3 linked regions of the Cricetulus griseus genome follow. The protein of the gene in region 1 purifies or fractionates together with the protein of each later gene. This does not show direct contact. Links are inferred from orthologs where the notes say so. Each region holds a gene or a part of one and is shown in the gene's direction. Other genes may lie near its edges.

Region 1 (4,780 bases):
CAAGCTGTTGAAAATCGGGCTCAGCAGTTAAGAGTACTGGTTGCCCTTCCAGAGGTCCTGAGTTTAATTCCCAGCAATCACATGGTGACTCAAACTATGTATAGTGGGGGGCTGATGACCTCTTCTGTCATGCAGGCATACATGCAGATAGAACACTCATGTGTGTAAAATAAATAAATCTAAAAAAAAGGACGTTGAAAATCCAGTGGGAAGCAGAACATGATGTCCATTGCAAGAGAAGCAATTCCGATTGAGGGTTATTTGTTTCTAGCTAATTAATGTCAATTTGTCCTTACTCGACCTCTGGTGCACCTTGAACTCCAAACTAGGCATGCCACTTTCTTTTCCGCTTTAGTCAGGATTTCCCTATATAGCCTGGATTGGCTTCAAGTTGCTGATCTTATTCCAACTTGCTTCAACCTCAGCCACTATAGTGCTGGTATGGAGGGGTGGGATATAACCACGCATGCCCAGGAAAACCAGACACAGACACAGACACAGACACACACACACACCACACATCCGTCTGTCCTTCCTTCCTTCCTTCCTTCCTTCCTTCCTTCCTTCCTTCCTTCCTTCCTTCCTTCCTTCCTTCCTTCCGATGGAGGTCTCACAATGCAGCCCTGGCTGACCTGAAATTCGCTTTGTAGAGCAGGCTGGTCCCAATCTCAGAGATCCTCCTGACTCCTTAATGCTGAGATTAAAGGTATGCACCACCACACACACAAAAAAAACCAGAGACTTTTGTTTCTTTTTTGATTTTTAGAAGCAAGGTTTCTCTGTGTAACCTTGGCTGTCCTGGAACTGTGCAGACCAGGCTGGCTTCGAGAACTCATAGAGATCTGCCTTCCAATGCCTCCGGAGTGGTGGGGTTGAAGGAGTGTGGCACCAACACCACGTTAAAACCAGGGCCTTTAAACAAAAGTCCTATCTGTGATGGGCCAAAGCGATAAAATACGGCTGAAGGGAAGAAAAACATGATTACGGTGTGTGAACAAGAAAAAAGTTGGCGCGTAAAAACTGGAGCCCTCCCTTGTTCACCTGTCAGTTCTTTACACAGAGGTTAAAAGGCTCTGAAAAAGGCACATGAATGAGAAAAACGTGCAGGAATGCACAGTGAGTGGGTCTCAGTGAGGAAGGCCTGCAGTTGCAAGAACCCATCAAGCCTCTCGCTCGCTCGGTCTTTCCGCAGGCAGGCCTGTCCTCGGCCGGCGGCCACCGAACAGGATCCTGGCTCATTCCTTTAGCCCAGTCTCGGCCTCCAGCCTCTCCCGCTCGCCTGGGCCGTTCTTCTTCGCAGTCGCAGTTCCCGCCTTACTGCTGAGCCGACGGAGGAGGGGCGTCAGTCGTGCTGGTTCCAGCCTTTTCTGGCGCCGAACTCCCGGACCCGCCCCCCCGCGCCAGTTGCCAGGGAGCGGTTGCCATAGAGCTGAGCAGTTGTCCGCGTGCGCAGGCGGAAGTCCCGGATTGAAGCGCCGCCATTTTTACTGCTCGGACGCGGAGCGAGAAGCCGAGAGTCGGAGACGCTATCCGCTTCCATCCGTCGCGCAGACCCTGCCGGAGCCGCTGCCGCTATGGATGATCGGGAGGATCTGGTGTACCAGGCGAAGCTGGCAGAGCAGGCCGAGCGATACGACGGTGAGTTGGAGGGGTGTCGGGGGGCTGGAAGTCTCGGACCCTCCGCCGCCGCCCACAGAGGCCGGGAACCGGAGACAAAATGGCGGCATCGTCCCCGAGTCTGGCTCGGGACGCGGGTCGGGAAGCGGGAAATGTCCTGCGGGCTCCCGAAGCGGTGGGAGTCTCCGGGCCCAGGAATTTGACCCCTCCGGTGTCCTTAGCTTGCAGACGCTCGCCCGCCAGCAGGCCGGGGAGTAGGGTGGAGGAGTTGGTTGTAAAATGGCGGCTGAAGGGGGAGGGCGAGTCCCCGGGCGGGGGAGGGGGGAGGAGGTGGCGGGTGCCGTCTCCCGGCGCGCAATCCCCACGGGAGCTTTCGGGACCGTGGCGGGATGCGGAGGACAATCGGGTGGGGTGATGTGCGAAGCAGCAGCGGTCGCTCGGGGGAGGGCGGAATCTTAGGGAGCTGGAGCGCGGGCGCCTTTTCAGGGAAATATGGCGGGTGGGGGCGGTGGCTTTTCCCGGGAGGCCCAGTGTGGGGCGGCGGCTGTGGAGCCTCACAAAGGAGAAGCCTCAGGAGCGGACGGCTTCTCTGGGCCGCTGGTGGGGAGTCGTCTTTGGAGAGGGTGGAGTGTGTGGAAATCACTGCAGATTGATCATCCTTGGGTGGAGGCAAGCTGAGATGCTGCGATTGGATTCCTTCCCGCAGGCCGGCGCACCTCGGAGTTGAGGGTTTTGGGGGGCTTCTCTGCCTCGCCTCCTCCCATGGATGTGTGGAGCCTCACTCGTGCTCCGTTTGTTCTCACCCAGGGGATCCCAAAGTTCCTGTGGGTTTTTCTTTTTTCTTTTCCCAACCTTCAGAAGCCCGAGTTCTGATGGATAGAATTCTTAAATACAGGAGACCAGGCTTGCCAGGACCCTGTAATAATGATGGCTTTTTACAGTACCCGTGTCTCAAGTCTACCCGTTTGTAAAAATGACTTTTCTCTTCGCACTCAGCATTATGACACATGGAAAGACCTGTTGAAAAATAGTTAATTTAAATAATGTTTAGTAACACTCCCTTGGTTGACGACGTAAGTTTGGAAAATTCGTGTTGCTTGGCTTGGGGATCTTTACCTATTTTGAGGACTCGGTTGAGGCTTGGGGATTTTGAAATACAATTCTTTTTTTTTCCCCCTGTTTTATGACTTCATTGTTGCGTGGCTGGGGTTCCAACCCAGGGTTGCATGCATGCAAAGCAAGTGCTCATATACTAAGATACACTCTACCTCTGTTTTATCTATTTTAAGCAAATGGTTTTATGTACATATTTTAATAGTTATTTTGTTCACTCGACACCCACTACTTCCTCACCCCCGTGATGTAACCCAAGCCCTTGTACAGTGCTCTCTGTCACTAAGCTCTATCCTTAGCTCGTGCTAATTTGAATTTAGTCTTATCACCATTTCATTGAAATATCTTTTGTGTTTAGTCAGTTGTAGGCAATTTATGTTTTTTTTTGTGCCTTCCCTTTCTCTGATTTTGTACCTAGATACTTCAGTTAAGCAATATCTATCAAAGTAGTATTTTAAAAGTGATAAATCACATATATGTTTACCATGATTTATTTATGTTTGTTTAGGAATAGGGTCTCACTCTGTCGCTCTGGCTTTCTTGAAACCTTAGTATGTAGACCAGGCTGGCCTCTAACTCACAGAGATCCACCTATCAGTCTCCTGAGTGCTTTGATTAAAGGCATGTGCACTAAGGCAGATAGGTCCTTGTGATTTTAGTGTTGGGGGCTAGGATGGGATGCATGTTTGGAATTAAGTGTTATTGCCCCTAATTTTTTCCAAATTACTTAAGCCACTTGTTTTTCAAAAGTTAGGTCAGACCCTTTTCCTTGAATTCCAGTTTGGCTCTGTTGCAGCTTTTCTAGAACTAGTCCTAGAGTCTTGTCAGAAATTACTGTTCCAGCCTTTGGAATTTAGAACAGAAGGCTTCAAAACCCCCAGTTTAGGAAAGATACTAAACTGAATTTTGCCTTTCAGGTTTGAGTTGCTGTTGGCTTCTGTTGGGAGTGGGAGGAGGTGGGATGGGGAAAGTATGAATGTAGCTCAAGGTCAGCCTTCATTTTAGTGTTTGTAGCCAGGAGAGTTTGGTTGTAATGGAGGGTTCTCTCTCTGCCTCCCTGAAAGAAGTGTCCCCTGAATCTAGTGTCCTTGGGAGGAAACATGAAATTACATTTGAAGACTGGGGATTTAGGCTTAGTGTGAATGTGACCCCTCCTCCCAATAGAAAGGTATTAGGGAATCTTTTTGCTTTGTTTCTGAGTCATTTTTAGGAAGGATTTGGAAACTTGCATGATTGTAGCTTCCAAATAAATGGCAAGTTAACTTTAAATCATGCTTGTGATTTGAGTGCTGAGGGTTTCTGACTAAAGTCTGGCCTTGTTAGTTATTGAACATAGGAGTGTAGACAAGCCACTTGGTGACTGTCCCTTTGAGACTCTTAAAGAAAGAAGGGAATGCAATAGGAAGCACTGCAGTGATTTGGCATGAGGAGGGATCTAGAGCGGGAGAGGCAGGAAGGCAGTCAGGAAACCCACCACTACTTGACTGACTGCAGTGATTCAGCTTTGTTTGTGTAATAGAAATGGCTCTATAGAAGGGATCACTAAGTAAAATACCAACTGCAATGCGAATGCATTGGGATTCTGAGTTTTGGGTACTTGGATGTAAATGTTGGCCTTTTAGCTGACCTTCCTTCTTGTTACTGTCCTAGGTTTATCTTGTATTTTGCATACTATGTAGAATCTAGTGCCTGAAGTGTCTTTTACTCTCCCTATAGGGAATTGAAATCAATTTATATAGATTATTTAATGGTTTTGGAAGAGGAGGTGAGAAGCTATGTTTCACGAACAGAATCGTTTAGGAGTTTGTATAGGAATTATCAAAGTTTGAGACAAGGACTGTTGACTTTAATAAGTTTAATGTTTCGCTTGGTTTTTTGAGACAGGGTCTCTTTAAAGAGCCCTGGCTGTCCTCGAATTCACTATATAGTCCAGGTTGGCCTTGAACTCAGAAATCCTCCTGCCTCTGCCTCATAAGTGCTAGGGAGTGCTCTACAACACCCAGCTTAGTTTAGTAATCTCTTTAACAAGTCAGTAGTCTAAGAAATAGGG
Region 2 (4,189 bases), on another chromosome or scaffold:
TAAGAGCAATGTTGACTATGGATGCCCAGCTCAAGAGGTTTCAGATGGGGTCAGGTATGGTATGGTGTATGCTGTTAATCCCAGCACTCAGGAGGCAGAGGCAGGAGGATCTCTGAGTTCAAGACCAGACTGTTCTTACAGAATTCCAGGCAGTCAGGACTATATAACTAGTTCTCAGCCTTTTTAATGCTGTGTGACCCTTTAGTACAGTCCTCATGTTGTAGTGACCCGCAACCATAAAATTATTTTCTATGCTAATTTTGTTACTGTTAGGAATTGTGATGGTCTCGGATGATTCTTGTAAAAGGGTCATTTGACCCTTAAAGGGGTTGCAACCCACAGGTTGAAAAATGCTGATATAGAGACTCTGTTTCAGACAAACAAACAAACAAGCAAAAAAACCAAACAAAAAGTGTTTCAGAGGAGAACAATATTAGCAACTGAGTTAGAGATCATTCTTGTGATATTCTGGAATGAATATGGTTACTTTCTGCTCTTGTCCTAAAAAAATGCCTGAGGCAAAATTGAAAAAATGATGCATTAATTTTCTTGGCTGAGAAGATCTTCAGTGCAAAAGGATAAGTGAAACAAAAAGAAATACAAAATATACAGTTTGAAGTGGAAAAATAGCATTAGAAGATTTAATGTCAGAACCAAGGCCTATGCTGAAAGATAAGGTGAGGCCTGATGGTAAATAAAATAAAAGGGGTGGGTGCTCTCAGAGCAAGAAACTACCCAGCTAAGCTTTCAACTTGTAAGAAGGAAATGCCTGGAAAATTTTCTGCTCAGAACAAACAAAAACCAGCAATAAAGGAAAGCTGCTGCAAGTGTAATTCAGGAAGGGGCCAGGTCTCTTCCTAAGCAGGCAGCTTAACTTGGCAGTTACCGACATGGTTTTGGCTTTAGCGTCAAGACAGATACATGAGTAAAGTGGTGTGGAGTCTTCATGATTAAGGAAAACCACTTGAGGCCACGCATATGGCAGGGAAGTCCCTTCATGGAGGCCCTGAGAGGCCATGTATGAAGCTGTGAAGGTGAAGCCTGGATTGCCTTAGAGATCCCAAGATATTGGAGACACCAGAGCCTTGGAATACCTGCTAAGGAGAGTCACAGGCAGGCTGTGGAACCAGCCCAAAAGAGAGAAGTGTGTAATAGTTGGCAAAGCTGGAAGGGGAAAGCCATTTAAGTCCTTTGCCATCAGACAGAAATAGTGGATTTGGAGTTTGCCTTGCTATTTTTCAGTCTTGGTTTGGTCCAGTATTTCCTCACTTTGACCTTTCCTCCATCTGGGATGGCAATGTGTATTCCGTGCATTGTATGTCAGGACTATGTGACCTGATTTTTGCTTTTGCTTTTACATGGGGTTACTGTTACTGGATTGCCTTGAGTCTTGGAAGAGACATGGATAGACTTAAACAGTGTTGAGACTGAAATACTATGGGAACTTTTGGGGGTGGACTAAATACATTTTGCATTATGATATGGCTACAAGCCTATGGGGGCCAGGGTGGAATGTGGTGGTTTGGATGAGAATGCCTTCTCATAGGGTCATATATTCGAATGCTTGGTCCTCAGTTGATGGAAGTGTTTGGGAGGATTAAGAAGGGTGGCCTCATTGGAGGAGATTTGTCACATTGAGGTTTTAAAAACCCTAGCCATTCCCAGTTAGCTCTCTTTGCCTTATGGTTATGTCTCAAGGTGTGAGATCTCAGCTACTGCTCCAGTGCCATGCCTGCCTGCTACCATGCTTTCTGTCATAACTTTTCATGGACTGAAACTGTATTCCCCAATTCTTTATATAGGGCATCTTGGTCATGGTGTCTTATCACAGGAATAGAAAAGTAAGACAATGTGGATCTAGAAGTTGAGATACTGATAAGTAGAAAAGTGATTTGAAAAGGGAGGATTAGATGAAAGAAAATGAATGTTTTGGTTAAAGTTCAAGGGTTATTTGAGGAAAAAAAGGAACTGAGGGTTTGAATAACTCTTAACCTAATGAGTATAATAATCATTAGCCAACAAATGAGAGTATTGGAGACAGGGGTTTCAATAAAGGAGTCTGGTGGGTTAGTGACAGGTGCTTGAATGATGTCAGAGGTCACTCTGCACTTGAAGACAGAAAGTAGGTGCTGCCATGACTCTGGGTATGTTGGCCTTACTTATGTGTACCTGAGGCTTGTATACTCAGCAAGAGTGGACAGCGCTTGGGACACGTACAAGGAGATGGGATATATTTTTTTTTCTACTTTGTTGGCTCACATGGACATATACATTTTGTATTTATGAGGCACTTACATTTATCTTGCAAACTTATTGGTATCGTGCATGATCTAATTGGGGCAAGAGTAGACTGATACATGAATATTGTTTGGAGTTCATAAGTCTTAACATCCCATTCCTGTGTTTTAAAAATACTACATTGTTTACTTTTTATCATAGTCTTGGAGGAGGAACTTTCTTTGGTCTCTGCTGTCTTCTTACTGGCTGTAGCACTTTTGAAGAAGCTCTTGAAATGGCATCTCGTGGGGATAGCACCAAAGTGGACAAATTAGTTCGAGACATTTATGGAGGAGACTATGAACGGTTTGGATTGCCAGGCTGGGCTGTGGCTTCAAGGTAAGGGCGTATGTATGTGGTAAGAAACTATTAGGTATATGTTTTATTTTAAACAGTTTCATTGAAATGTAACTTATAAAGTTATCTGTTTAAAATATTTAATTTGGGGCTGAAGATGTAGTTCAGTTAGTAGAATATGTACTAGTATTTATGGAGCCCTGTACTAGTGTATATGATTCTCTAGCACTGTATAAACTGGGTATGGTACATGTCTATAATCTCAGCCCTGGCATGGAGGCAGGAGGATCAGGAGTTCCAGATCATTTTGTGCTTCATAGTGAATTGGAAGCTAGTCTGGTATACGTAAGCATTTGTCTTTTTTTTTTTTTTTTTTTTTTAAAGTGTGATTTGGTGGTTTGTTGTGTATTTGCAGAATTTTGCAGCTATTACTATAATTCAGTTTTAGAATATTTTTTATCATTTTAGAAAGAAATCTTGCAGCCCTTAGCTGTTACTTTTCCATTTCACCTCTCAACCTTCCCAGCGCCTCTTTTTTTTTTTTTTTTTTCTGCCTCTGGATTTGGTTACTCTGAACATTTCGTATATATGGTATCATGTAGTATGATCTGTCATAACCAGCTTCATGTCACTTACTGCAATGTTTACAGAATTATTTCTTTTTATTGCTGAGTGGTCTATTATGTGACTACCATATTTTATGTATTAACTAATAAACATTGTGTATTCCCACTTTTTTTTTGGCTGTCATGAATAGTGATGAAGACATGTGTACTTGTTTTTTGTATGGACATTTAATTTTCTTTCTTTTTTTCTTTTTGTTTGCTTGCTTGTTTGGTTCAGAGTTTCTCTATGTAGCCCCAGCTCCTCTGGGACTCACTCTATAAACTTGGCAAGCCTCAAACTTGAGAACTGGCTGCCTCTGCCTCCCAAGTTAAAAGCCTGTGCTACTCTAACCTGCTTTAATATTCTTGATCTCTACCTAGGAATGAAATTGGTATGCTGCCTGGTAACTTTATATTTAGTCTTTTGAGGAACTACTAGACTGCTTTCCAATGTGACCATACCATTTTACAGCCCCAGGATCTTTTTTTTTTTTTTTTTTTTTTTTTTTTGTTTTTTCGAGACAGGGTTTCTCTGTGGCTTTGGAGGCTATCCTGGAACTAGCTGGTCTCTATCCAGGCTGGTCTCAAACTCATAGAGATCTGCCTGCCTCCCGAGTGCTGGGATTAAAGGTGTGCACCACCAATGCCTGGCTCCAGCCCCAGGATCTTAAGAGAGATTAACTTATTCTATATCATTGTCTTTTTGTTTAGGAGTCCTCTCCACGTCTTTTGTTGGCAAATACTATCCATTGAGTGTTGACGCTTATAACCTCATTTGGGTTTTTTGAGACTGGGTTTCAGTGTATGGTCCTGGCTGGCCTCAGGTTTTTGTTCCTCTTTCTGCCTTTGCCCTCTGAGTGCTGGGATTATAGGTAAGTGCTATCAAACCCAGCCAGAAGTTTGTAATTTTGGTGAAACCTCTTATTTATATGTGTTTATCCTTTATGCTTTTAGTGCAAGGGATAAAGAATTTTATAGTTTGGGTATTGACATTTATGTTATGACCCATT
Region 3 (3,123 bases), on another chromosome or scaffold:
ATCCAAGTCCAGAACACTTCTTAGACATAAAACTTTTTCATTGAATCTGATTTTTAGCTTCTTTTGTTTTTTGTTTTGCTTTGTTTGGGAGATAGTGTCTCACTGTAGCCAAGCTGGCTTCGTGATTCAGGCTAACCTCTTTTCTAAGTGCTGGGATTACAGGTGTGTGCCATCTTGCCCAATTCGAATCTAGTTTTGGAAGCCACACACAGAGTGCAGGGGTAGAGCACTTATGTATCGTGACCAAAAAAGGTCAAACCCCCCCCCCCCATATAGATGTCCTCAACAAATTCAAAGGACGAAAGCAGGGGTGAGGAAGGGAGAAATAGCCTGGCATCTGCATTATTCATGTGCCCCCTAATTTGGATTCATGCTTACTGTGTATGTGAAAACAGTGCTTGTTTTTCTTGTTTCTAAGCCAGCCAATGAAAGGAGAATTCCTCTGGATTCTTCTCCTTGGGCACTTTGCTCTCTGGATGGGGCAGGGAGGGGCTTCTGTGCTATTGTTGGACTATTACTGTTAGTTCAGGCTCCTGGCTCTGCTTGGAGATGGTAGGTTCTTGACTTATTGGTCTTCCTGGTAGAAGATAAAAGTGACAAAACCTGTTACTGCCCTGGAGTTCTGGGGGCAGAAATCACCTTGAGTTGTTCTGGAGTCTTGTTTCCTTGAATTTGTATATCTGAGGTGCAGATTGCCAGGCCCTTCCTTTTACTCCCTCCTAAGGCCTTGATGTGACTTGTTACTTCTTACTGAGTCTTTTGTCTCTCGCTTCCTTTTGGCCCAGAACTCTCAGGCTTGCAGTTAGAGTCTCCTTGGCCCAGATGATATATGCTCATTAAAAGCAACTGTTCCGGATACGTGCTCCCTTCAGAAACAGAAACAGTCAGTCCTTGGGTCAGGCCACTATGTACCCAGAGTGTGTGTACTCAGGTGACCTGTGAGGTCCATGGCCTGGTGGCACTTGGCTTTAGCTATACATGTTTTGAGAGTGTGGAGTAAGTTTTGGTAGAGTCTCAAATTGGGGTGCCTCAAGGTAGCAGACTGACTTCATTAGCTGGTACCCTACAGTGTAGGCAGGAGGGTGCTCCCCACATCTTCTTTCCACTCTGACTTGGGGCTTGTTCCAGCTCTGCATGTTGTATAACTCCAGGAACTTGAGAGATCAAGTGGTTCATCTACCTCAGCCCCCCAAGTGGCTGGGCTCCAGTGTGTGCACACTATGCCTGAGGCTTGCTGATTATGTGACTACTACTGCCATCTGACGTTGCTTTCTTCCTCCTTTCCCTCCTCCCCACCAAGCTCTCATTATATTCCTTCTTTTTTCCTTTTTTTAAATGTTTGTGGTTGTTTTGCTTGCATGTATATCTGTGTGTGTGTGTGTGTGTGTGTGTGTGTGTGTGTGTGTGTGTGTGTGTGTGTGTGCATGTGCGTGCAGTGCCAGAGGAAGCTAAAAAGACAGTGCTAGGTTTTTGGGAACTGGAGTTTCAGATGGTTAGGAGCTACCATATGGATGCTAGGAATTGAACCCTGGGTTTTCTGAAAGAGCAGCCAGTGCTCTTAACCACTGAGCCATCTCTCCAGCCCCCTTATTAAATTTCTTGAAAACATGTGCCCAGGTCAAGACCAGAGGTCTAGGAATTAAAAACCAAGGATAGTTCCTGGTTTTTAAATGCTGGTGATCAAACCCAGGGCCTTTACACATGCTAGCAAGTGTTCGACTGCTGAGCTACACCCAGGCCCCTGGTTTTTACATTTTTCAAAGGATCATAAAGCAAAAAGAAAATAAAAAGTAAGTAAAAATGCATGTAAGCAACCTTTACGCAGTCTACAAAGTCTGTGGTACTTTTTTTAGTCAGCAACCTGTTTTCAGCCCATGTTGAAAGTGGATTTCCAAGCCAGCTGTGATTGCATGAACCTTTAATCCCAATACCTGGAAGGCAGAGACAGGCGGATCTCCATGAGTTCATGGCCAGCCTGTTCTGTGTACACAGTGAGTTTCAGGTCAGCCAGGGCTACATAGAGAGACTCTGAAGAATAACAAAATGAGTGTTAGAGAGACTCCAATGGCTGCTGAAATTTCTTTGCATTCCTTTCAGAAGTCTGCTTTCTCTGCTGACTTGTAACTGTTTCCCTCTTCCTCCCCTCCCCACAGAAATACCAGCCCTCGGATCCTGCCTTTGCCTATGCACAGCTGACCCATGATGAGCTGATCCAGTTGGTCCTCAAACAGAAGGAAACCATCAGCAAGAAGGAGTTTCAGGTGCGGGAGCTGGAAGACTACATAGACAACCTGCTAGTCAGAGTCATGGAGGAGACCCCCAATATCCTCCGAGTGCCGACTCAGCTTGGCAAAAAGGCTGGAAAGATGTGAACCGCAGGAAGGAAATGGAGATATTTTGTGAGCTTGTTTCCACCAACTCTCAAGGTCAAAGGCATGGTCTTCATAGTAACCAGCACACAGGCTCTCATCACTGGGTGTGTGCATTGTCTATCAAGAGTTTATTCTCCTAGTTGAAACCAGGTTAATTATTACAATGAATCTTTTCTATACATTCCTAGCATTTTAATTTTAAATGCCACTGTGCCTTTAACTAAGTTGTAAATGTAAGATTTGACTCTGAGCCATCAATTCAGGAGGCACCATCGGAACTAATGTATTTTAACACTGGGGTTTTCGCCCTTTGATACGGAGATCATCAAGTGTGTATCCTCCATGAAGCCAGGCTTAGGGTGAGATCAGAAAGGGACTATACTATGGATACTGTTTCACCTCCTTTCTTGGCCTTCAAGCAGCTCAGGTGTGGCAGATTCTAAATATTTTTGTCTTGTGAACTTCTCAGACTCAAGGATTGTTTTGGTAGGGTTTTTGTTTAGGGGGCATTGGTCTGTTTTCCAGATAGGCTGTTGTATAGCCTAGGCTGCTCTTGAACTCACTGTATAGCTGAGACTAGCCTTCTTCTGATTTTCCTGCCCCCACTTCCCAAGTGTTGGGATTACTGCTGTGTTGATGCCTCTTGCCTGGAGCACAACTGTTTACGAAAACCTCTGAGCATGCTTCTTAGACTTGGAACAAATTGTCTCTTTCAGGTCCTTCTGCCTTTTAGCTTTAAAAATATGATTTG

What was found. Proteins that work in one complex are often made in the same cells at the same time.
Region 2: the proteins of 14-3-3 protein epsilon (region 1) and Pank2 purify together in Homo sapiens (affinity purification with mass spectrometry; 3 studies listed by BioGRID and IntAct, with this or other methods). This does not show direct contact. The link is inferred for Cricetulus griseus from reciprocal best matches to the Homo sapiens genes YWHAE and PANK2.
Region 3: the proteins of 14-3-3 protein epsilon (region 1) and Rab11fip1 purify together in Homo sapiens (affinity purification with mass spectrometry; 3 studies listed by BioGRID and IntAct, with this or other methods). This does not show direct contact. The link is inferred for Cricetulus griseus from reciprocal best matches to the Homo sapiens genes YWHAE and RAB11FIP1.

The regions. Positions count from the first base shown.
Region 1 is NC_048600.1:89,183,968-89,188,747, forward strand, and holds the start of 14-3-3 protein epsilon, read left to right. Parts: upstream 1-1,460; 5' UTR 1,461-1,574; coding exon 1,575-1,638; intron 1,639-4,780. UniProt on the Homo sapiens protein: Adapter protein implicated in the regulation of a large spectrum of both general and specialized signaling pathways. Binds to a large number of partners, usually by recognition of a phosphoserine or phosphothreonine motif.
Region 2 is NC_048599.1:47,283,736-47,287,924, reverse strand, and holds part of Pank2 (pantothenate kinase 2, mitochondrial), read left to right. Parts: intron 1-2,439; coding exon 2,440-2,616; intron 2,617-4,189.
Region 3 is NW_023276807.1:56,694,565-56,697,687, forward strand, and holds the end of Rab11fip1 (rab11 family-interacting protein 1), read left to right. Parts: intron 1-2,153; coding exon 2,154-2,372; 3' UTR 2,373-2,373; downstream 2,374-3,123. UniProt on the Homo sapiens protein: A Rab11 effector protein involved in the endosomal recycling process. Also involved in controlling membrane trafficking along the phagocytic pathway and in phagocytosis. Interaction with RAB14 may function in the process of neurite formation.